Linked DNA regions of Saccharomyces cerevisiae S288C. The gene in region 1 interacts genetically with each later gene. Each region holds a gene or a part of one and is shown on either strand. Other genes may lie near its edges.

The links.
Region 2: mutations in RTK1 (region 1) and ROY1 together harm fitness more than expected from each alone (negative genetic interaction), as found in Saccharomyces cerevisiae (one large-scale study listed by BioGRID).
Region 3: mutations in RTK1 (region 1) and TCM62 together harm fitness more than expected from each alone (negative genetic interaction), as found in Saccharomyces cerevisiae (one large-scale study listed by BioGRID).
Region 4: mutations in RTK1 (region 1) and YOL019W-A together harm fitness more than expected from each alone (negative genetic interaction), as found in Saccharomyces cerevisiae (one large-scale study listed by BioGRID).

What each region holds. Positions count from the first base shown.
Region 1 is NC_001136.10:402,662-409,261, forward strand, and holds RTK1 (putative serine/threonine protein kinase RTK1), read right to left. Parts: upstream 4,546-6,600; coding exon 2,683-4,545; downstream 1-2,682. Other genes in the region: serine/threonine/tyrosine protein kinase MPS1, read right to left, coding at 1-630; MRX9 (Mrx9p), read right to left, coding at 1,034-2,296; putative acid phosphatase DIA3, read right to left, coding at 5,790-6,600. UniProt on the Saccharomyces cerevisiae protein: Probable serine/threonine-protein kinase that may be involved in ribosome biogenesis.
Region 2 is NC_001145.3:780,411-786,885, forward strand, and holds ROY1 (Roy1p), read right to left. Parts: upstream 3,872-6,475; coding exon 2,210-3,871; downstream 1-2,209. Other genes in the region: PET111 (Pet111p), read right to left, coding at 1-1,621; tRNA methylation protein TRM732, read right to left, coding at 4,211-6,475. UniProt on the Saccharomyces cerevisiae protein: Non-SCF-type F-box protein involved in the endocytic with the vacuolar sorting pathway. Acts as a repressor of YPT52 by inhibiting the formation of active, GTP-bound, YPT52. Involved in the defense mechanism against methylmercury toxicity.
Region 3 is NC_001134.8:322,915-329,393, forward strand, and holds TCM62 (Tcm62p), read right to left. Parts: upstream 3,146-6,479; coding exon 1,427-3,145; downstream 1-1,426. Other genes in the region: QDR3 (Qdr3p), read right to left, coding at 1-1,031; protein phosphatase regulator GIP1, read right to left, coding at 5,259-6,479. UniProt on the Saccharomyces cerevisiae protein: Chaperone. Required for the assembly of succinate dehydrogenase subunits. Ensures mitochondrial gene expression at elevated temperatures and prevents heat-aggregation of the ribosomal subunit VAR1.
Region 4 is NC_001147.6:286,632-291,722, forward strand, and holds YOL019W-A (uncharacterized protein), read left to right. Parts: upstream 1-1,788; coding exon 1,789-1,941; downstream 1,942-5,091. Other genes in the region: aromatic amino acid transmembrane transporter TAT2, read left to right, coding at 1-1,319; TOS7 (Tos7p), read left to right, coding at 2,267-3,922; t-SNARE syntaxin TLG2, read right to left, coding at 4,250-5,091.

The DNA.
Region 1 (6,600 bases):
TTCTTTAAAGTTTGTTTGGTGAGAATCCTCAAGTGGTAATTCCACTGTCTCCCTTGCATTTATTGGCTGGTTTGGAGAGTTAGGCACATCCTCATCAAAGATATTTGTCAAAGTCATCGCTCTCTTTGCAGGACCCAGCTTCGTTGTCCTATTGGATATTAAAAATCTCTTACTTCTCCTTTCAGCATACTTTGCCGTAATATCTTCTTTCATATTTTGTCGCAAATTCCTTATCCTTTCAAAACTCTTATCAAGACTATTTCCAACATTTATCTCTATGTCACTAGTGTTCATCGTCGTCATGCTAGTCTGGTGATTATTTCTCAGATATCGTCCGAACAAGGTTGAATGCGATGAGGTACTAGTATGACCGGATGTCAAATTGCCCATTGACGGTGGGGGGTGACTCCTTGATGAACTCCTGTCCATTTCTTCTAATCGATTTGCGATCTTGTCATTATTATGACTTGATAATATCTCTGATGCTGAAGTTTTTTCTGTGTGGGAAAGTAAAGCTGATCCGAAATTGCTTAGTTTTGGAGGCGTAGTGAACTCTTCGTCATCTGAAAACTGTCGTGTATTAGTTCTCGATTTTAAATCCACATAATCATGGAATGAGTTTGTTGACATGTTTGTTTTGAGATCATCCAGTTCTTGCAGAAACAATTTATTATTTTGGTTGTAAAGCTACTTCTATAAACAACTGCAATATTCCTATTCAGACTTCAGTGGGCTGGGTCAAGTAGGCTTCTATAAATTTTGTAGGTTACTATTAATATAGTAGATCTTAAATTCTCTTTAAGCTTGCCTTCACATAAACATCACTATTACTCTTTGCAACCCTTGGTAGTTTTTTTTTGGTTTTGTTTACTATTTCTAATTGATATTATCATTTAATACGATGGAAGTGACACCAAAAATTATTTTGTGTCACTGCACACCATAAATAAAGGTATTGGTCAGAATATATAAACATGTATGATATATAAATTGTGGCATCACAGTAATGCTCAAACAAAAACTTTAATGTTCTTTACTCTTTTAGGGTGTATTCAGTGTTTTTGTCGTTTATTTTTGAAATGTTATATTTTGAAAAGAATTCTCCAGAATCACCATTTGTTGTGATAACAAAGTGTTTTGATAGTAGCGTATTTACACTTTTGATGGCAATAATTGTGTTAAGGGTTTTGCTGCTGTTAGAGGTTTCACTTTCTTGTAATATCTTGAAAAAATCAGCCTTCGAATAAGCTCCGCCATTGAACATTATTGCAGGAAAGGATTCGTCTAAAATAATGACATATACGTCTGCAATATGCTTCTTGCCCTCGAGTTTTTTTGAAGGGTTTAGCGGTAAATTTTTCATTGAGTCTAAATACAACTTGTATCGAACACTGGAAAATATGAAAGTTTGGAATTTTCTGAGTTCACTTCGGCAATTATCAATATCGAGTTCCAAGTCATAGGATTCTTTGATCCATTTCTCGACGCTGTCTCCTAAAAAGTAGGATCTTATTCCCAGTTCGTTCTTGGTGAAGGACTCCAACACTCTTTTCTGCAGGAAACTTAGAAACTGCTTTCTGGTTTCTTCTTGCTTTACTAAATCAACATTCAAACCTTTGGCAAACTCGTTTGGAATTCCCATCCTGGAAGATATCTCTTTCCAACTCTGAACCATAGGTTGTAATTGTAATGATCTCATGGTGGGTAATGTTATTTTCAATTTTGTTTTCGGTAAGGAGGTCAAGACATCTTTGTAAAAGATATTTTTCTGCCATTTTTTGAATTGTTTAAAAAAAAAGAACATAATAAGAAGGGGAAAAAAAAAGTGAAAAATTAAGGGAATAACGACTATCGTTGATGTTAGAATGAATGTGAAGATACTTGCAGTTGCAAATATGATAAAAAATGGGGAGACTTTATATACTTTCACAAACGGCTTGTTACCGTTCTTTGGTGACTTCGAAGAAAATATAAACTTTATTTCTGCACGTCGTGACGAATGGAAGGCTCTTTTACCAACCAACCTGGATGTCGAGCTTTTCAGACTGGATAGAAATTGGTGAGTGGTAGAACAATAATTAGAAGAAATGCATGAAAGCTTACGAAACTGGAAACTTTCTCCTCGATATTTTGGAATTGCGGGAGATGTAATCGCCGAAGGCACTGGTTTAGGAAAAGCCCTTAATATTCCTGGCAAGTACATATTGAAACCCTTTCCATTATTGAGACTATTGAGCGTAACGCTGTTCATAAGCTCCCTTGTCCTACTGGCTAATCCCACTGGAACTTTGAACATTTTTTCCTACTCATATGTGGTTATGGTGGTCTTATTTATCTGCGCTAAATCACTTTTCAATTATTCTTTGCAGTTTATAGGGGAGGAGACTTCCTCTTTGTAAAATCTAATAGGGCGTGTTCACAATTTTATGCGTCGGGTGACTTCAATTTGGCGCCCGTTGAGATTATCTAAAAAATGCTTTTATTTATTTAAGCGCTTTTTGTTTTGACGAATGTATTTATGTTTTTGTATATATATGAGCGTTTTTTTTTTCCAGATTTAACTAGTTTTCTTTTTCACCTGTATGCACACCATCTTTTATTCCTATATAATGCCTTTTATAGTACTTTGAATCTTCTATATACAATTTTTTAGGTTTTATCTTTTAAAAAGTGTTTATTTCATTAATTTGAATCTTTATTCCCGTGTTGCTTGGTCAGCTCATTCAACTCCTCCTCAGTGACCAAGTGATGCTTATGATTCTTTGGTTTTTCAACCAAATCGCCAGATGTAGGGTCAACTTCACAGGAGGGGACGGATACAAGCCAATCATCCTTTACCACGTCATTCATTAAAACTCTTTGCTTTGGTTCTAAAGCCAACATTCTGCCTATTATTGTCCGTGAATGTCTTGGCAGTAGCCTTAATATTTTATTTGGCCCCCGAACTATATCATCTTCGTCCTCAGGTTCCTCAGTAAATAACCTAAATGAGTTGAAGCTCTTTTTTGGAGCCTTCCAAGGAAATCTTTTAAGGACCATACAGTAAAATATAATAGCGATAGACCACACATCTGCTACTCTTGGATCGTAGGATGTTTGTTTCAATAACTCAGGAGCCAAATAAGGGTCAGAACCCACGATTCCATGTGATTTTACAATGGTATCTTCGTAAGGGTATTGGAACACTACAGCGCTCCCAAAGTCAATCAGTTTCAAGATGCCATCTTTAGTGACGACACAATTGTCCAATTTTAAATCCCTATGAGCTAAGCCCATAGAGTGCAGGTAATTAACGCCGTGGCACAGCTGCTTGAAGTAACAGTTGACTTCATCTTGTGTCATTAGGTTACTCATGACGAGATTAAAAAAATCATATGGCGCATACTCCATTACTAATAAATAGGTGTCACCTTCAGTCAACATATCTAGGGTTTCAACGATATTTTCGTGGTGCAGCGTGGAACCAATACAAAATTCAGTGGTAACCTTCTTAGAATAATTAGCTAATTGAGACTGATTAGTTCCTTCATTGTTTAAGTGTGGTTTTCTGAACATTTTGCAAGCAAATAACTTGCCGTCTGTTCTTTCTACTACGGACACTGAACCGGAAGCTCCTTCGCCTAATTTTCTACCAGGAATACCATATTTTTCTAATAGCTCCACTGGGTTATCTGTTTCGTATAACGCTTTTCCGTTACTTTCTACTATATTTTCATTGGTGTTCAAATTGAGCTTCGGTTTTGTAGGGGTGGATCCACGGTTGTGATGGTGGTGATGATGATGGTTATCGTGATAATCATTATGAATTTTTTTGAAAAATCTTGTTAATCTCAAGGATTTTTTCTTTCTTGATGAGGTATCATCACTACCGCTTGAAGAATTATGCTGTAGTTCCACGGACCCAGGGGTGGAGGCTTGAGAGTCCATGAAGTGTTTGTCTTCAATCTGTTTCTGTAGTATCTCTACGGGATGCATATGTGCCTGGTATGATAAATTCGAAGAGGGTGTATCAGATTTTGCAGAAGACACTGTAGAAATGTTGCTATGAGCTGTAGAGCGAACGGGGTGAGGATGGTGGAAAGCATCTTTTGAGCCTTGATGAATGTAGTTTATTGGATTGTGAATACTATGGGGTAAGTGGGGCACAGTGTGTCCCGTACGAACGGGATTATGATTGTTAGGTAAGGGCCGTGAAGGAGAGTAGTCAATAGGAGCTTTTTTAGCTGAAGTAGGAGAAATACCTGTCAAAGTAGAACTTGCTACTACGTGTGACTCCTTTGACAACGCGCCATTTCCCTGGGGGCTCTTTCCTATGGTAGATCTTCGGTCGTTGGGTTTGTTATACTTTATTTGATCCTCTTGGTCAGAATCTGTATTCTTTTTTGAAGATCTAGAAGAAGACCTTGAAACATCATCTGTCTTTGAGTATGATTGGTTACCACCTCCATTGAATATTTTAGCCGATAAATTCTTCAACTTAGTTGGCCTAAATAATGAAGACAGCGAAGTTGATGAAGATGAGTGTAATGGAGTTTCCTTAACCATTATGCTATGAATTTCAGGCTGCTCTTTTCTGTCCTTCTCTCTTTTTTTCCCTCTCAAATCCTCTCAGCTTATTAGCGCACTAAAGAGTCAGTTTGGGTGAATAGCGTAATCAACTTATGGAAAAGAAGAACACTAGAATCCGTCACTATTGGCTGCAAATAAGTATTATATCTTTTTTCAATGAGAAATCTTGCTTGCCCCATAACAGGTACAATACTTAGCAAGCCAGGAAGAGTCACACTGCAAAATAGATATATGAGAAGCGGAAGTAGCTTTTCCCCTTATAGATGTACGCCGTTCGATATTACCCGAACTGCAAGAAAAGCTTCTCCAAATATCTACTGGCCTCCATTCAAGAAGGCAATTAAAGAGACTATGTGTACATGAATGGGAACTTGGTATGATGGTAGTAATGCTTTATTAGTCATTCCCCTACCCCCTTGCGCAACCTATCATTTTACTTGCCAGATGTGCTCTCCACTGTTAGAGCCTCTTCGCTGACAAAGAATGGACGAGTACGCGAGCGGTGAAACGAGCACTGCAGGCAAGAGAAAGAAAAATCATGCATGATTTGGAAAGCGAATAAGAAATGACGCAGTTGAGTGTTTGAGTTGGAGCCAGCTGTGTTATTCACAGGTTCATTTCGAGAAAATAAACGCCTTTGGTGGAAGCGGACACTATATTTCACATTTTAGCTGTAGAAGTAAAAAATTTATTTCAAGTTTACTTAATCCATTCAAGCAGTGCTTTCCCGGAGTTTCGAATAAAAGACACTGAGGACTTTTCAGTTTGAATTTGAGATATGTTGTGGAAGTTTCCCAATACCAGAACCGCCTTTGAAATCCGGAAGTTTTCTTTTATGTTCTTGTGAATTTTCTATCCGAGTTTTAACTTTCGATATTCAGAAAGAATAGCCGTTCATCTCTTTTATATTATATTTAGCGATGTAATGAAAGTAAAAAAACAAAAAAAAAAAACAACAATAATCAAATGACGCATATCTAAATATTCCAGAAAAGAATATAAATAACGAGGGTGATAAAGCGGGTGCAATTAAATTCTCTGTAGTACAAAAATATGTAATAACCGCAGAACTTGTTAGTGGAATCTCTTTTAGATGTAGCTTGAAGGCTCAATTCGCTCCCCTTCGGTTTGCTGAAGGAAGAACGATGCGGAATATTACTTTGTGACCATGTTATGTAAAGACAATTTCCTATTTTTTTTTATTTCTGCCCATGCATGGCTTATTGATTCACTAAGGATGCGTTATACCTTGTTGTGTTCCAATCCCAGTAAAACGTCAATTCCTTTTCTTTGCTAACTTTGGAGACGTCGCAATCTTCATAGAAGCTCACACCTCGTAATCTGTCTTTGGCATACTCGTAAAATGTGCCCTCTTCACATGAAAAACCTGGACCACTGGAGCAACTCTCTATAGGAACCACAGCATCGTTGACCACATAACGGACGTACGAATCGTTTGAGCATTGAAACTTTTCTGTGTAGACTCTAGCTCCCTGAGGAATGTACCACGACCTGTGGTAGGAATGATCACGAAAGGGAACATGATTGGTTGTTAAATTTCTAGTGTCATCAATCAATCCAGCAGTTGTCAAATAATTTAGAATATCAGTATCGTGCGTAAAGCTCAGCCAAACTTTTTGGTCCAAGTGCGCACTTTGTCGTATTAGCTTCACTGTTGCATTGAACAAATTAGCACCTATAGATTTAATCAATTTGTATCCGGGACCATTTTGGTAGAAGCTCGTCAAATCAGTCTCATAAGAATAATGTATTAACTCTGCCGCGGAGAAAATGTCACAAATGTTACTATAACCTTTTGCGTTCAACTCGAAGGCACACCAAGAAAACAAGGCCGCTGCATCTTTCCTGCTCAAGTTCAGCCCTTTATTTTCGTCATTAAGACGATCGGAAATATTTTCTAAGTAGTCCCTCGAATATGACATTAATATATCATTGTTGGCATTCGAATTCCAATTGGGGCACGAACTTTTGGCAGCTAATGTGTTTGCTCCTGACGAGGAATTTTCGCTA
Region 2 (6,475 bases), on another chromosome or scaffold:
AAATCACCAATTCTGCTCCATATACATCATTGTGAGAAACTTTTTTCTTGAACTCTTCAAACCTTTCAAAATCAACCGCGTTGAAACCAGATAACGAAGAGTCTTCTCCTCCATTGATCTTTCTCGTATGGATATGGGCATTTTCTTGTAAAAATGTGTACACCCAAGTGAGACATTTGCTGTATTGGCTCCTTTTTAGAGTCACAAGTAGGTCATTTGTAATTTCTTTTGCCAGCATTGGATAAACATTTACGGCACATGACCATAATTGTTGAATAAATGCGGGCCGTAATCGCGTTTTACCATCAGTGGTTTTAACTACACTGCGATAATATTTGAAAAGTCCTTCGAATTGATTGGTGTTGACAAAATACCTAGAAATGCACAAATGAAACGAACCGTCTATGCTAATATCATTATCTCTCTGGATTTTTTCCAAGATTACTTTTAAATTCTCGAAATTGTTAGTAGAGACGTACGCTTGAACCACTGACATATATAGCTCTTTTCGTGTTGAAATATTATTATTAAGTCTGGTAATAAATTTATCAACTCTTTCCATCAATATTGAGTCATCAATGCTTTTTGTTCTGTCTCCTTTGATGCAATACAGAGAATGACAAAATTCAATCAACTCAAACTGCACACTTGATGTATATCCCGTACTTAAAACAACGGGATTGGTTAAAAAATCGTTTAGCTCATCTGTATTAGAAAAACGTAATAACATTCTGTGTATTATCGCGAGGGTTTTGAACGAGGGAAGGTTAGTTGAAGAGGATTGCTCATCACCACATTTCACTTTCAACCAGAGATAAAAGATGTGTTTCATACTGGACATATCTAGATATCTTTCCATACATCGGAGAAACTCAAAAAGCTGCTTTTCAGTTATTGGAAATGTATCAGGATTGGTAATTGCTTGCGTGTAAAATTCCACCGCTAGTTGAGTGTTATTACTCCTTATGAAAGAGTTTAATCCTAAAGATATCATTTGTGGCTTTACTTTGCAATATTTGATATATTCTGCAAATAAAGTTTCACAGACATCAAAATGATGTAAATTATGCTGTACTACCAACATAATTTCGATGAACTGACCATATGTGCCTTTATCAGTGTGGCTTGCTAATAAGGGCGTGAATTGCTCATATGTTGTGTATATTTGTCCAATATCGTAGTCCCTTTTCAAAAAGTGAAGAGAATTTATTAAGATCAGTAATTGCTGTATTGAAAACAAAACCTTTTGGTTAGTGGAAAGGCTAATTATTGTCATCAAAATATCTGGATCTGCACTTTCGAATTTTTGCTTCCACAATATTCCAAAATCTTTGTCTTTCACTATATTATATTGATTCTTAAGAATATCTAAGCTGCTGGGGCTTTTGGTAATGGAGTCCATCCAATCGAGTTTATTCCGAGACTCATACACACCGCTTATTGTTGAAGAATCTTTTAGTTGCGCTTTAACCCAATCCTCAATATCTTCCTTATGCTTTTTTTTGATCAACTCAGTTGAGTAATATCGTACTTTAAAGAAAACAGTGTGCATAACCTTGTTTGATTCTCTGTGAAGTAATCTCTTTATACCACTGGAGGATATAAATCTCCGTTGTAACATTAAGTTCTCGTAAGCAATTGTTTAAATTTAATAGGTAGTGATAAAAAATTTGACGATATCAAAGTTGTGGTGTAATTAATAGAATACATGAAAAGTTATGATCAACATAAAAATGCTCTATACCAGATAGAATTTTATAAAAAAGGAAGAGAATAAAACGATAATAAAAGGAAAGACAGGTTAAACGATTGGAATGGGGTCTTCAAGTTACAAATCTAGAGGAAAGTGTAGACCTAGTGCAGCAATTGTAAATTTTGAACCTTTCTGTGGGGGGAGGGGTTTCTCAAAGTATCAGATAGTATTATGCACGGTAAATAAAGCCTAACAACAAGAAGTCCAAACAATAAATAACAACCGTTTCTGATCCTTGGATCGTATACAGAAGCTTGTTCATTTCAGTTTTTTCATTGTCTCTTCCTTCGGTATGCCTACCTTTCTGAAATATATGGTTATTATTCGAAGAACTCGTAAGGTCCGGGTAATAATTATGAAATGCAATAGTAAAATATAATTATTACTCAACTGGCTGTATATATACGAACTCCTTCAACAAATGTACATAAGAAATGTTTATCACAACTATCAAGTTTAATCATAAATAGTTTCATAAGTGTGTAATTCTGGGCTCACGCTAAAGTATATTCCTGACAACATAGTTTGGCGAAGGTTTGGCAATATCTTTATCAAGTAGTTCATGTAAGGATAAAAAAAATGCGATATAATAGTGGCTAAGGGCTCAAATGAGGATTCGTCAAAATAACATTCATAACTTGCAAAGTGATGAATTCTCTCAAAGCCATGGAAATTCCACGTCGTATCCTCAGGGGCATACTGTAGTAAATCCAAATCCCAGTTCTTCTGAGGATCAAACCTCTTAGCTAGAGATTTTCCAGTATATGCTGCAAACACTATCGGTATAATATCCAAGTATCTTGCATCCGGGGTCGAAAAGTATTGATGATTCATGATGTACTTATCAAATAATGGTAAGTATTTGGAGCAGAACGCACATTTGCAGCCGTTCCACAAAAGGTCACACGCATACATTTCATATGAGGTGATGGACTGCAATACAGTTGGAGCTATTATTGTTTCCAACGAAGTTAGCTTTGGTAAAACCTTTTCATAAAGTTTTTTACGGCGAAGCAAGTTCCCATCAACAGTATCAATGCCCTTGCCATTTAAAGGTGGGTCATGTCGTATGCTTAACAAACGCAAATCTTTACTCACGTTTGGTAAATTTAAAATAAACTTATTAACGACCAAGTCCCATTTCTCGTCCATGTAATGGTACCCTTTTTTGGTGAATGTCTTTTCAATGAACCCCAGACTTGTTAAGGAAACAAGGTTTCCTGTTATATCTTGAAGAAAGTCATCATCACATTCACAGTCGTCCACCTCACAAGAAAATTCTAATTCAAGGGCTTTAAGATTGGATAAATTAACTACATCCTTAAACGCGCGTGAAGATAATCTCATAGAAGTAGCACTCCCATCACCTTGTTTGTGAACATGATTAAGCTTCAAACGGCGCAGATTCTTGAAGCGGAGGTTCAGGGAATCAAAGTATTCAAAGACCCTTAGGCTTGAGTACGCTTCGTCCTTTATTTCTAACTCTCCTCCATTAAGTTGCTTCATTAACATTACACCCACTTCAGGGATTATTACGTTTTGCAAATCCAACGATTCAGGTAATTGCCATTTTAAGCTTTTGAAGTTTTGCCATAATTTGATACCATCAAATCCAGTTTCGCCATATACTACTCTCTTCTTTAAACTTGACAGGCGATAATACTTTGCTGAACATAACTCAAACAAGGTAGGATCCTTGATGTCAAGACTTTCAATCACGTCCAAGTCAGTGATTTCATTGACCAATCTTTGTAACAGTTGCAATCCTTCTTCCCTGTTGTGAAACAAATCCTCGTCAATAGTCAGCTGTTTTATACATTTTAAATGCGATGTCTCCAACAACCTTTCAATTCTATCATATAAAAATATGTCATTCTTGTCACCGGTTTTCAGAACAGATCTATAACCACTTACATAAGTTTTTCCCCCGTCCAAAAACCATTTGTTTGTTCTTAAAACAGGATTCTTAGTTATGTGAATATTGCTATAAAGACGAGGGATTGCAATCATGTCATGCATTTTTTTGGATGTTAGACTTAGGCTTAATAAATCATTTTGATTAAGAAATAAGGAGGCATGCGAGAACACTATGAATATATCTTGATCTTGGAATGCCATTTGTCAGTATTACTTTTGTTATATCATGTGAGCACAACTGTCGTTTTCACAATAGTTCAAATTGACTAGAGAGTTAGTAAAGGGGTACAACTTGCTTTTGTAATAGGGCACACCTTTAATTTTCCATCCATGAACATTTTTCAACAAAAAAAGAGGTGGAAAAAATTCAAAAGAAAATGACAACGGTAAAGAAATTAAATCAAGTTCCATCATTGTATTTAGAATAGAAATCGACATGCTTTGTAATAGGTTCCACAATGAATCTCGTCACTAAATCCACAAGTAGGTTAGAGATGAATCAGATTATATGCAAAGTATATATCTGTACATATTCATTATTTATAATTGGGAATAACTGATAATTAGGGGATGAACAGAATGTTTAGTCAGAACATTGATAAAATTCTCATAATCAGAAGGAGAATAATGTTGAATCAGTTCCTTTAAAAGCGTTATTCTTGAAAATATTTCAGCATTAGAGCACCAGCCGAGTGGGGAATCTTTAAAATCCTCGGTGTTGAAGTGCTCCAATAGAGCACTTTTTAGGTGATGTATCTGGTCTTTGTAACACTTTGAGATATCCCTTCCAGTCAATTTTATCATATTTAATATATGCATTGCCTTTTGTAGTTCGTTGATGAACTGGTTATCCTTTTCTATAGTAAATAGACAATTCTTCGCCGATTCTTCGGCAGCAAACATATCATATTCATTTAGATATTGAAACAACTGTAAACACAACTCTTCTACCACCTCAGAACTTGTGAATACGTCAACAAACTTTTTTGTGAATATAAGAGCGGTCACACTGGTGTTCCTGTTATATTCCCAGTCTGCAGTTTGAATAAAGTTCTTATTCAAATAAAAAGAAGCCTTTTCTCTTATTTCAGAATCATCGTCCCATAAGAAGTTGTACAGTTGTAATAGTATTCTGGAGTTCTTACAACTTTCTGGATAAGCAGTTAAACATTCTAAAGATGCCAATCTAAAATCTTTTGAACAAGAATCGGCGAAAAATCCTTGTAACAAGTTCCATACCTGGTGAAAGGTTTGCGAAGACAATTTAGCACTTAGTGATGAAACGGCAGCAAGTTTTGTATCTTCACTATTATTTGTTTTTAGGAGATCAGTGCAGGTCGTCAGGGATAAAGTATTCTTTTTTCTTGAGAGAATTTTCACTACTAAAGCTTTAGCCATAGGCAGCAAATCTGGAACCCTGAGTAATAATTGTAGTTGTTCAAGAAATTCTGAGTTTCTTGTAGTTTCCCAGTGAAAGTTAGTATTCATGTACTGTAGTGTACTGAGCTGAGCCTCATAAAATGGAGAATACAATCCTAATAAGCAAATATCATCGAGATATATACTATCCTCATATTTTAAGAGCATGTCTAAGATTTGTGCAAGATATAGCTGTTTGCTACCATCCACAACATATTCGTTATTTTCAGCAATAAATGTGTTCCGCAAAGTGCTGATATAATCTTTTAAAATAGAATCAGGTATGTCGCATGTTTCCAATATACAGCAGGTCAATTTTAAGTAGGCCTTTTTAGTGATAAAGCACTTGTTCTCTAGTAGAAGCATCCTTTTCTTTTCAAGTATCCTTTGAATCAACTCCATATCTCTAGTTCCTGAAAGGTATTGTGGTACTAGTTGTTGGAGTGCTAGTAAGTGTCCATGTAACTGGTTTTGCTTCGCGATAGAAGCCAAGTCAAGTAATTTTCTTATCTCTTCTTCAAAATTTTCCGACAGCATATGCAATACTCTAGAGGCCATATCTCTGATCTTCCAGTTCTCATTTGATAAACATTCATAAACAGAAACGTTGAATTCTTTTAGACCAGTATAGCCAGCTGTAGGCCGTAACCTCAGTAGCACATTAAGGACCAAGAAAATGCTTTCAATTTGATATGATTTTCTTTCACTTCCCGAATATTGAGCAATAGAACTGTTTAGAATATTCAAAAGCAGTTGCCTCAAGCCAGAATATTTGGTAAAGAATAATTTTGCACTAACGCTTCTGCCCACTTTTCCAAAAATTCTATTTTGCAAGGAGGTAAACAGCATGATAGAACAGTTTCTTAGAGCCCATATATCACAGTCGAAATTCAATAAAGCTAGTTCTAATGCCTCTGAGACAAATGACGTACAGTGTACAGAGAGCTTCGGTTCAACAAAGATTGCGTTTATACAATTAATAGCATTAACCTGTGGTAAATCAAACTCATCTTGATGGGGAGGAATTGGTAACCTTGCAACGAGTAGTAAGTTTTCAAAAGTTTTTTGTAACAAAGGTCTCCCTTTGGTAACTTCTGCACTTAAGACGGTTGTGACCAAGAAAGGCAAGCCTCCTGACCTTCTTGTAATATGTTGAGTTTTGGATTTTAAAGATTTTACACTCTTGCTTAAAAGTTCTTCCAGAATAGCGGGAAATTCAAGTTGACAACGAATACAAAATGCCTTTAGCCCCGGTAAAACGGCTTGGAAGGCGCCACTATGACGAATAGTAGAAAGCTGAACAATAAAAAGATCGCCGATACTGTCTAATTGATCTCTTGTTAAAGGGTATTTTTTTAATATTGTTTCAAGTAAATATGATGCTTC
Region 3 (6,479 bases), on another chromosome or scaffold:
ACGTAGTTATGCTTCTCAGTAGATAATGTGGCAACTTGGTTTTCAATTCGATCTGTCTCATCTTCTCCCCTCTGATAATCTTCTTGTATCTCTCCACGTTCGTTATTGTCTACTTGAATACGTCTTTCAGCCAAAATTTGAGCGATAGCGCCTTTAGAATCTTGTTTTCTTAATGTTTCAGGTAGTAACACCGTCAAAAGAATGACATTACATCCGGATAAAATAACCATAAACCATTGAGTGGATCTCCAGGGCCAGCGATTCACTAACAAAGATCCAAAAATTGGAGATAGTAGCGGCGCCAGTAGTGGACCCAAATAGTAATAACTCAAATTTTTACCTCTATCTTCGCTAATATATAAATCAGCCACTGTTCCAGCACCTACACTTTGAACACTGGCAGAAGCAGCCCCACAGAGCATTCTCAAGGCAATAAATGAGTTGATATCAGGAGCTAGAGCAGACCCGATATTAAATGCAAACAATAATGCAAATGAAGTTATGTAAGTAGTTCTTCTGCCCTCTAGCTCGGATAGAGAAGACCACCACAATGGGAAAACACCAAGACTTAAAAGGTACACACCAATTGAAACGTTTACCATAATCACTGATGTTTTAAATTCTGTTGTGATTGAGTTGATCGCTGGAAAAATGATAGATGTGCCCATGGGGCCCATCATGGAGGAAAACGCAATCAAGAAGACAATCATCTTTTTCATCATCGGTGGATAATCTCTGGCATCCTTGAACTCCGGTATAATGGCGAGTTGAGGCAATAGTCCCCTACGTTGATTCTTTGGAACAACGTATTCCTCACTCTTCAACCTACTTAGCTGGTTGTCTCTGTGTTCACGACTATTTGATGCCGTACTTTCCAGATTGGTCTTTTCGTAACTATAATCGTTGTGCTCGCTGTGCGGGCTGCCGCTGCTTTCATCGCAGTGCATCATAACATGATTGTTCGGTAGTGAATTGTCAGAGCAATTACTCCTCAAAGACCCTACATTCGATTGTGAACCTTGGGCTTGCATGTTTATCGCTTTCTGACTTCGGTCCTAGCATAGACGTTAACAAGTTAGAAAGATGTGAATACATATGCCTTCAACCCTGTTTTCTTTTAAGGATACAAGGACACAGCTATTACAACAAATTTTGTTGGTTTCTATCTTATCTAATCGATAATCTTTTAATATTTTAATCTAATCGCAGTTATCCAAAACTGGAATGAGATGGTTCAAATCCCCAAAGGTAGATGGAGTTACTGCTGAGGCGTGGAAAAACCCGAGTTTTTCCGAAGCCGCATATGAGAAATTGAGCAGGAATAATAGATATTTACGAAGAGGTAAAAGTGATAAAAGGCAGCGCCGTGGCAATATCTATTTACAATGACTCATTCTGACTATTTAAAAGTATGTAAGGGCTTTATCTAGGCTTTGTGCCGTTCAGGCTTTTTGTATACACATGTGATAATTGTATTACAGCTTGTAAGTAATTCAATGAACGTTTCTACACCGGCTAAACAAGAATCCATTTTGCTCCATGGCTCCAAGTTTCCATCCTTTACTGTGTTCACCGGTTCTGAATTTGGAGAAAACTTGGCCATTGGAAACGATTTTTCGTTTATAGCGCCTGCTATCAGGCTATTGATCTCATAATAGTTGTACCCATATGCATTCTTAAACGCCACTTCTGATGGGAGAATAACTGCTGATAAAACAGCATTGATGCCTACCTTAGTCATGAAATTGGGTTCATTTGCTTTCAGTTCATTCAAACCTGGAATTGCCTTCAGTAGGGAGATGCCGTAACCTGGGATGAAACCTTTGGCCAGCCCATGACATAGGACGTTATTTAAGCAATTATCTATTGCATTTCTTCTTCTGTCGATTTCGATTTCGTTATGTCCACCAATGCTTAAAGTGACCGTATTTTGGAGGAAGGATTTCGGAACTTTATTTGGAATCGCTTCAGCATCAATGGAGTTATATAAGAATGCCTCCCCTGTGGTCGCTTTTATGGATTCGATACTGCCGTAATATTTATCCGCACACATTTTGCTTGGCACTAAAGGACTATATTCTGGTGAGTAGATGCTGTCATATCCGCAAGGCAACCGTAAGAACTTTATAAAATCAAGATTCTCCTGTGGCGCTAAGTCATTGTTCGCCTTTTTAGAGTACTTCAAAACCACTATTCGGCTTTCATTATTTTCTCTCTTGTTTCTGTTATTGTTAATTGTAACGGATGTTAATGCATCACCTGTGCAATCTCCGTTAACGATTAAGAGAACAGATTTTCTCAACTTTCTTGCATACGTTATCGTGGGTAGAATTTTATTAGCGTCTCGTAACGTCCCATCATACATAAGAACTAGCATATCTTTATCAATGGAAACTAATTTCTTAGTAGGCAACTCCAGGGACCTTAAATAGGCTTCATTACTATCTAAAATACCAGCTGGATATTTCCAACCCTTGGATACATCAACCTCATCGTAAGTTTTGTTGCCGTTTATGACCCGCACAATGTCATCCGAAAACAATTCATAATTAATGGCTTTCAAAACCCTTTTGATGCTTTGGCTGTCTGAGGAGGACATAGTCAATTGCTCGACCAGAGCATCAACATCGTTTTGACTTTTCACTATAATCTTGTTCTTCGCAAGAAAATCTCTGATATATCGTAATCCGGCCTTGATCCCATTGGTCACTTCTTTTTCGGGATACTTGAAATAGTGCTCCAGTAAAGAGCATGTCAAAGATGTTGAAGTTGCTGTTAAGTTGTCCTGAATGCAATCCATGAATAATTGTAGACCAACCCTCCCCAGCTTTCGAGGCCTGTTTGATTGAAGTCGTGTGTTGGTAGCTTCATCTACTTGTAGGGAATCTAGTAACTCACGCATTACATTGTGAAGTCTCATGGTATCATGAGAACTAACGACCTGTGGCTTGGATTTATACTTAGGTTCATATATCAATGTTTTATTGTAGGAGGATGAAGTTATTATTTTTTCCAACAGCTTAATACCAGAGAGCGTATCTCTGAGAACCTGAAGGTTTTTTGTTCTATAGATTGGGGTGTGTAACGTTTTTACCGAACATTTCGTTTGATGATTTCCCAATTTCCTCAAACAATTCCTCAGCATACTCGTTAAAGCATAAGAGAGTTTTATGTTTACAGTAGTGTGGGAGAAAATAACGCCAGGTTAAAGCTCGTAAAAGGTAAACTATCGCACTATCGAAACTTTTGTTTCACAGGGAATGGAAGAAAGGGCCTTTATTTTTTACATTTTTTTAAGCCATAACGGATTTTAGTTACCGAGATTTTCAATCCTATAAGAATTACCTAAACTATTAAAAGCGGACCCATCTAAAACATAACGTTCGGCAAGTAGATGTATTGTTCCAAAAAGGCAATACATCCATACAACGGTGCCACCGATCTGTAATGAATGCTCCGTAATGTTTGGGGGATTCATTAAATTTACTGCTGGAACCGAGAGAGAAACACGACAGAGCAATTCATATAAATGAATAAATGAAAACTCGGTCGTATTGCCCTTAAACGTTTATAGGACCAGGTTGGCTACTTCCTCATCTCAATTTTGTGATAGGGGAGGTCTGCGTAAGGAATCAATTCGGATACCTTGGTAGTACTTTTAGGGGCACATTTTTTATTTCTACTTCTTGTATTATTAGGTATCACTGAGATCTATCTCTAATGATGCCTTCACTCCCACAGATAGCGGAAGACATTAATGCACTTCAAATCAAAACTTCTTCAACTAAAGCTACTCTTTTCGAACGCAGAAGATATAATTTCATTCCTAGAGACTTTCTACGAACCTAAAGTAGCAAATTTAAAAAAATAAAGAGTTTGATCCAACCGAGGTTCGAACTCGGGATCTTCGCCGTGTAAAGGCGACGTCTTGAACCACTGGACCATTGGACCCGGAACTCGATACTATGTCATTTTTGGATATCGGTTAGTTGTATACATTGGATATCTCATCTAAAAGCATTACGCATGCCCTATAACTGGTAAATTCAATGAATGTTTTGTAAGTTGAGGGGATGCTAATTCCCTACGAAGTATTTCTATATTATGTGCAACTACATCAAGAAGATAATATTAAAGTTGTTGGAATAAGAATCTGTTGGAATGGAAATCAACTATCGTCCATCAACTATAGTTATACTACTGGTATTATCATATACGATGTTAGATGATGACATAAGCTATGAAAAAACTGCCATTGAAGTTAAAGGAAGCTGAAATGCAAAGATTGATAATGTAATATGATAATGAAACATTTAAAACGGAATGAGGAATAATCGTAATATTATTATGTAGAAGTATCGATTCCATTCGAGGATTCCTATATCCTCGAGGAGAACTTCTAGTATATTCTGCATACATAATATTATAGCCTTAATCAATAAAAACCCCAAGAATTACCTCAAAATTCACCAATATCTCAAAATCAACCTTCATCTGTCTACCAGTAGTCATATTATTATATGTTATCATATACAGTGTAAAAAAGATGATATAAAGATTGAAAAACAGTCATCAGATGTTTGGGAAGCTGAAATAAAATATAGTAGGACAATGGGTGACAATATATAAAATGGAGAAAGAAATAGTAGCCTTATTACGTAAAAGTATCAATCTCTTTTGTAAATTTTTGTATCCTGGGGAAGAACCTTTATCATATTCTCTATTCCTAATGTTATAACCTTAACAACAACGAAATCCCAAAAATTATGACAAAATCCACCAATATATCAAAATTCACATAAAGAAAGCCGTATTCTATATAACATTGCAGAACATTTTTCTAACACATTACCAATCGTCAAAGTTCTGCCTTTACTAAATCAGGTGCTGAATTTTGAATCATATATAAATAGCCAAGTAGTTTGTGCGGTCGATTCCAACGCCGCTTATAATCCTATTCCAGCAATATTAACAATGTAGTCTTAAACTGATATGGTAACGACAGATAGAAGATAGCTGACCCATATTCAACCAAATATCTTGTCTAGAAAGGCGCATTTGATAGGCAAAAAATTGCACAGGCGTATTATCTTTGTATGCTAATGCTTTTTTATGTTATTCACTGAATACTAACTATCAGTAGTTGATTCCCTCTTAGCTACAAATGCATAACTATATGTATAATCACGTAGATAATGTATTGATGTAAAGTGAAAACAATTTTACAGAGTATTGGCAGTTAAGTGTTGTTTTTTCGCTCAAAAAACATCCTCATCAAGCGATATAATTTGTGCCCCTTGACTACTTATACCTTTCAGTTGCCTACCAATGTTTCTTTCCGTAGCTCTCATACTAAGTATGATATCAGATTTATCATTAACGGAATCTTCGCATTCAACAGCCGCAAAATCCAAAGGATATTCTTCAGAATAGTACTTGCTTAGTTGCTCTCCTCTCAGTCTATAATTTTCTGCTTCATTTCTCTGCCTTTTATACTCTGTATATTGAAAATAATGTAAAAATTGGGCTACACCTACTGTGTCACACTTCGAAGCTCTCTGAGACTCCTCATCATGCTGTGAATTCATCTTTGTCTTTAGAATTGACCTCATTTCAGTAGTCGAATAACCACTTTGAGTCTCATCTTTGTTTAACTTTTTAGATTTTTTGTAGATTAAAAGACGTGAGTTTTCATCAAACCTAACACTTGAGGTACTCCGATCCTTTATACAAAGATCTGTATCCATTTCTGAAATGTTTTCGCTGTCAGATAACTCTGCATCTTCTTCGTTATCAACATATGGATTGAAAGCATCATAGAATCTTTTATTTCTAAAATTCACGCATCTTTTCTTTTTTTGATGACTTTTGATCAAATGCGTTAAGTTATCTTGGCTTAAATCAGCTTTACCAACTTTTGAAAGAATTTGTGATATATTGGTCCTATTAGTAAGGCCGCGAAATGTGGGGATAGTATAAATTTTACTACTTCCACTTGAGCTTGTATCAGATAAATCGGAAAGTTCCTCAGATTCAACTGGCTCGAATGTGGTCTCTACATCATCCGAATAGCTACTGCTCGCATCATCTATGTCTTTATCCAATGTATCATCTTTTAAGGCCGAGCTCACTTCAATTGGTTTTTCCATTGCGTCCACCGTGCTAGTATTAGAGTCTGGTATGACCACATTTCCCTCTTTCTCAGTGGTAACATCGTTTATTGAATCCTCATCCATATTTCTGTATTCGTTATCACTTTCATAATCGGAGGCACTGGAACCAATTTTGTTAGAGGGAAAATCTACTTTTTCAATTAAAAACGAATCCGTGGAGCTTAATGCTTCAATTCTTTCTTGAACTTCTTTGGTAATGTAAATGGATGGTGTACTTTCCATCGAATGATCCGATTCAGGTTCATCTGAGTATTGTTTTAAGCATAGCCTCTTTTCAGATGTTGTATCACTGGAATCATTGCGAAT
Region 4 (5,091 bases), on another chromosome or scaffold:
TTTTGGATCCAAGTATAAGTTTTGTTGTTTCGACCATATACGTGCTACAGTGGTTTTTTGTATTACCCTTAGAAATCATTGCGGCGGCAATGACCGTACAGTACTGGAACTCGTCTATTGACCCCGTAATTTGGGTAGCCATCTTTTATGCTGTTATTGTTTCCATAAATTTGTTTGGTGTACGAGGTTTTGGGGAAGCGGAATTTGCATTTTCCACCATAAAAGCAATAACAGTTTGCGGATTCATTATATTGTGCGTTGTCCTCATTTGCGGTGGAGGTCCCGACCACGAGTTCATTGGCGCCAAATACTGGCACGACCCTGGTTGTTTGGCCAATGGGTTCCCGGGCGTTCTATCTGTTCTTGTTGTTGCTTCGTATTCTCTCGGTGGTATAGAAATGACGTGCCTGGCATCAGGTGAAACGGACCCCAAAGGCTTACCAAGTGCTATCAAGCAAGTGTTTTGGAGGATCTTATTTTTCTTTTTGATATCACTGACCCTGGTAGGATTCCTGGTTCCATATACAAACCAAAACTTACTGGGTGGTTCATCTGTGGACAACTCACCTTTTGTCATTGCCATAAAATTGCATCACATTAAAGCCTTGCCCTCCATCGTCAATGCGGTCATCCTTATCAGTGTTTTGAGTGTAGGTAACTCCTGCATCTTCGCTTCAAGTAGAACGTTGTGTTCGATGGCCCACCAAGGCCTTATTCCATGGTGGTTTGGTTATATCGACCGTGCTGGTAGGCCACTGGTTGGCATTATGGCAAATTCACTATTTGGATTACTAGCATTTCTGGTCAAATCTGGCTCGATGTCTGAAGTTTTCAATTGGTTAATGGCCATTGCCGGCCTGGCCACGTGCATTGTCTGGTTGAGCATCAACCTGTCACATATCAGATTTAGACTGGCGATGAAGGCTCAAGGGAAGTCTCTGGATGAATTAGAATTTGTTAGTGCTGTCGGGATTTGGGGATCAGCGTATTCCGCTTTAATCAACTGTCTAATCTTGATAGCTCAATTCTATTGTTCACTATGGCCCATTGGTGGCTGGACCAGCGGCAAAGAAAGGGCTAAAATATTTTTTCAAAATTATCTGTGTGCCTTAATCATGTTATTTATATTCATCGTCCACAAAATTTATTACAAGTGTCAAACAGGCAAATGGTGGGGGGTTAAGGCGTTAAAGGACATAGATTTGGAAACCGATCGTAAAGATATCGACATCGAAATAGTCAAGCAAGAAATTGCCGAAAAGAAAATGTACCTAGATTCCCGTCCATGGTACGTGAGACAGTTCCATTTCTGGTGTTAATACCGAAGAAACAAGTTCAATTTATTTTTGTAGAATATTTTTTTTTCTCTTCTCTAGTACTCATCCTTCATAATTAATTATTCCAGATCATTTAATGCATAACGACATGACAATAAAAAAAAAACCTGACATTTTGAAAAATTATCATTTGAATACGTGGATGAAGACTTCTTCGAGCCAGGCCGCAATAAAATTAATAATATATATAGACATCAATTCTTGACCTACACAAAAATAGCTTCTCTCGGTAGCCAAGTTGGTTTAAGGCGCAAGACTGTAATTTATCACTACGAAATCTTGAGATCGGGCGTTCGACTCGCCCCCGGGAGATATTTTTTTACTTTTGCACATCGCTGGTCTTAGCTTTTTTACTTGATTCGCATTGCAATCTATCTGCCAAGAATGAACAAGTATTTTTTTCCTCTGCATCTTTCCCTGCCGTAGGAATCAAATTTGCAACAAGTCTGCAATGTCTAACACCTTTGTTGCAGTCGAATTCTCGTGGCTGTACGCAATTTCTCTTATCCTACCGTGTGAAACAATTCGCGTCGCGTGGGCGCCGAAAAGGGCTTATCACGGCACATCTGAAGAAAAGAGACGGCTGGCTCCAGCTGATATTTAGATATTTTTAGTTGAATAAAGAGGCAGGCGTCAGCGATATTGCATTGTCGCTGTGGTGGGCAGAAAGCCACGGTAATGCATGTCCTGTTGTCTCTTATCCTTGTTGATAAGAAACCCTCTTGATCAGCTAGTCATAATTTTGTCTCTTCTTGCATTCTCTTTCCGATATATAACTTATATCTTCAGGTGTCAGGCAATAGAAACAACAAGGCACAGCGTTAAAAGACCATCATTTCATTTTAGCTTGTCCAAGCACATACCATTTTTCACTCAAGCTATAGCAGAGAAGTTAGTAAACATTAATAGATTATAATATAAGAAAGGCTATGAAGAAAAATTCTTCGGTAGTTTTCTTCCTTGTGGGTCTATCACAATTCGTCACTATGGCGTTTCTCATTATCGGATCCATTACGGCTCCAATTTTCAAACAAATAGGCTATTCTAAATATGATGAGATCACATACGGTACATTCGGCTACTGTAAAGAGGGCTCCTGCTCAAAAGCAAGTTATAATTATCACCCCGATGAGCTATCAGACAGTGATAGCAACTGGAAACTCAATAGCAACGCTAGGTCTATATTGGGGAAAATCATCTTTATCACACCCATTGCTGCTGGTCTTAATTTTTTGGGATTTCTTTGTACCATCATGAGCGTTTTATTAATTAACGTGCTATCCAGTGATAGAGTTGGTAGTGCGTCTGCCATCATGTTTTTTGTTAATTTGACATTTTCCACTCTAGGCTTTCTTTCTGCTTCTTTGATATGTATCGTGGTATTTTTACTGTTTTACCCACATGTAACCTGGTGTTCATGGGTCCTGATACCAGGAGCTGCTTTATCTCTACTAGTAATTCCTTTGATATTCTCAGCTTATTCAAGAAGCTCAGGCTCAAGGGATGATGACGAAACCGAGGAACTGGAAGAAAAGGGCATGCTGCTGAATGACCCATATCTAAGTTCGAAGTCCGGGAGATTCGATATCGACGCTGATAGTGAGGCCAACCTCCGTGGTGATTCAAGAACGAATTTATTGGGTGACAATTTTAAGAACGGTACTAATATCACTGTTGTCCCAGATATTATTTCACACAATCAAGATCCGAAATTATCAAACATAACCACTTCTACCACGTCTGATATTTCTACTTTCGATAAAGAAGCAAAGGACATGGAAAATTCAAATGGTTCCGGACTTAATGAAGAAGAGGACGATGGCATGGCCTATGACAAAAGGAGGTCAACTTCAACGTATTCTGTCATTGAAAGTGAAAGTGGCTTGAAAAATGGGAGTGTTTCTAATAATTATGTGAGAAACAATGGTAGTAACACCAGCAACAATATAAACTATAAAGTTCCGCTAGGAAAAACGGAAATATCATCCAGTGCATCATTAGCGTCCTCAGACTACTCTCAAAGAGAGGTCATACCGCACAGAAATCCTTCGAGACTACTAAACGACATCATGGAGACCTCCTTCAATGAACCAAACGATAGCCACATCAACAGCATGTCCTCCTACAACGATAAAGATTCAACGTTGACTTCAATATCACAGAGAGGTGTCAATCCGGAAGTATACAATCAAATGCCTCGAGAAACAGCCGCTGGTCCTGCAAATATAAGGCCGTACGCTGGTCAGCCACACCCGGCGCCATTAGTGTATCCCCAACAACGACTACAACCACAACAACAGCAACCACAGCAGCAATATCATCAATACAATTTATATCAAAGAACTACTCCTGCTGGTCCAGATCCTTCTAATGTTATTTTACAAAGCAATCCTTATTTCAACGTTGCCCCAAACCAAGTGCCACAGCACAGAAATCCGGTACCAGGCGTCGGTTTTGCTCCGAATCCTTTACCAAACCAAAGCCCGATAACACAAGGATATAAGCCTGCCTATAAGAGGAGAATGCAAAACAAAAACTTGCCCCGAGCTACTACTTCACTGAACAATCCTTACGGATTTAGGTAAAAAAAGAAAAATGAAGGTTCTTTTTTTTTTTTTATATTCTACAAATCACAATAACCACCAACTTGTATTAAACCATATTTTATCATCTTCAGGAACTACTTATGCACAATATTCGTTCGCCAGTCTTTACTTGCGGTTCAATTTTATCCCATATAAATTTGTATTTTATTATCATACTACATACTTTATTGAAATCATATATTAACCTTTTCACTTTTCTCAAATAGAACGAGCAACAGGTCATATGAACGCTGACTAAATCTCTCAATTTTCTTCAAAGCATATTATAGTTCAAAATCGCGATGCGGTACCGTGAAAGTTTTGTCATCAAAGTAGGTCATCCAAAGCATCATTCTCAGATTCTGTTACTTCAACGATACTCGGCAAGTTGCTCTCTTCGTCATTAATATGGGTATTACTGCCGTCATCATGACTGTTATTAACTGTTTTATTATCATCATTGTTGTACTTGTTGCTACCATTATTACGACCACCACTGCCACCGCCATGTGGTTTCAACATAACAAAGAAAAAGAGCGCTATTACGCACAATGTTAGTAATAAAATGACTTTACATTTTTGAGTTCTCTTCTGGTAGTGTGTTGCTTTATTCAACTCTTTATCTGCACTTTTTAGCTCTACCACTGTATTTTCCAGATTATAATCAATCCTGTCCACAATAGTCCCCTGGTCAACAACCAAATCTTGCATTTCCCTGAAAATAGTGCTCACTTCTAATACACCCCTTGCCAACTGAGTAATTTCTTCGTCACGTTCTCTCAAATATGCTTCTGCAGAAGTGTCATGAAGCTGTTGCTGTCTCTGCAACGTCCTTTTTGAATAGTCTTCAATATCGAGGCCCTCTCTCTTCTCTCTTGCTGCCTCCTCTTCCTCATCATCTAATAATAGCGTGTTCTCTGCACTGGCCTTATTGCGGATAGGTTTCAAATCATCCTTGTTCAAGAATTTCAAGTAATTATTTTGTAATACTCTGAACTTATTACTTTCAGTTTGTATCTTTTCTGCATAGATCTTCTGTAGATTATCTAGTATAATCAGCTCTTCTCGACTTAATTGCTTACCATCCACAAATTGAGAGTTGTATATGGTCTTTAATCGTTTCATAACAGCGTAACATTTCTGCAGCATCTGAATTACTTTGAAACTTA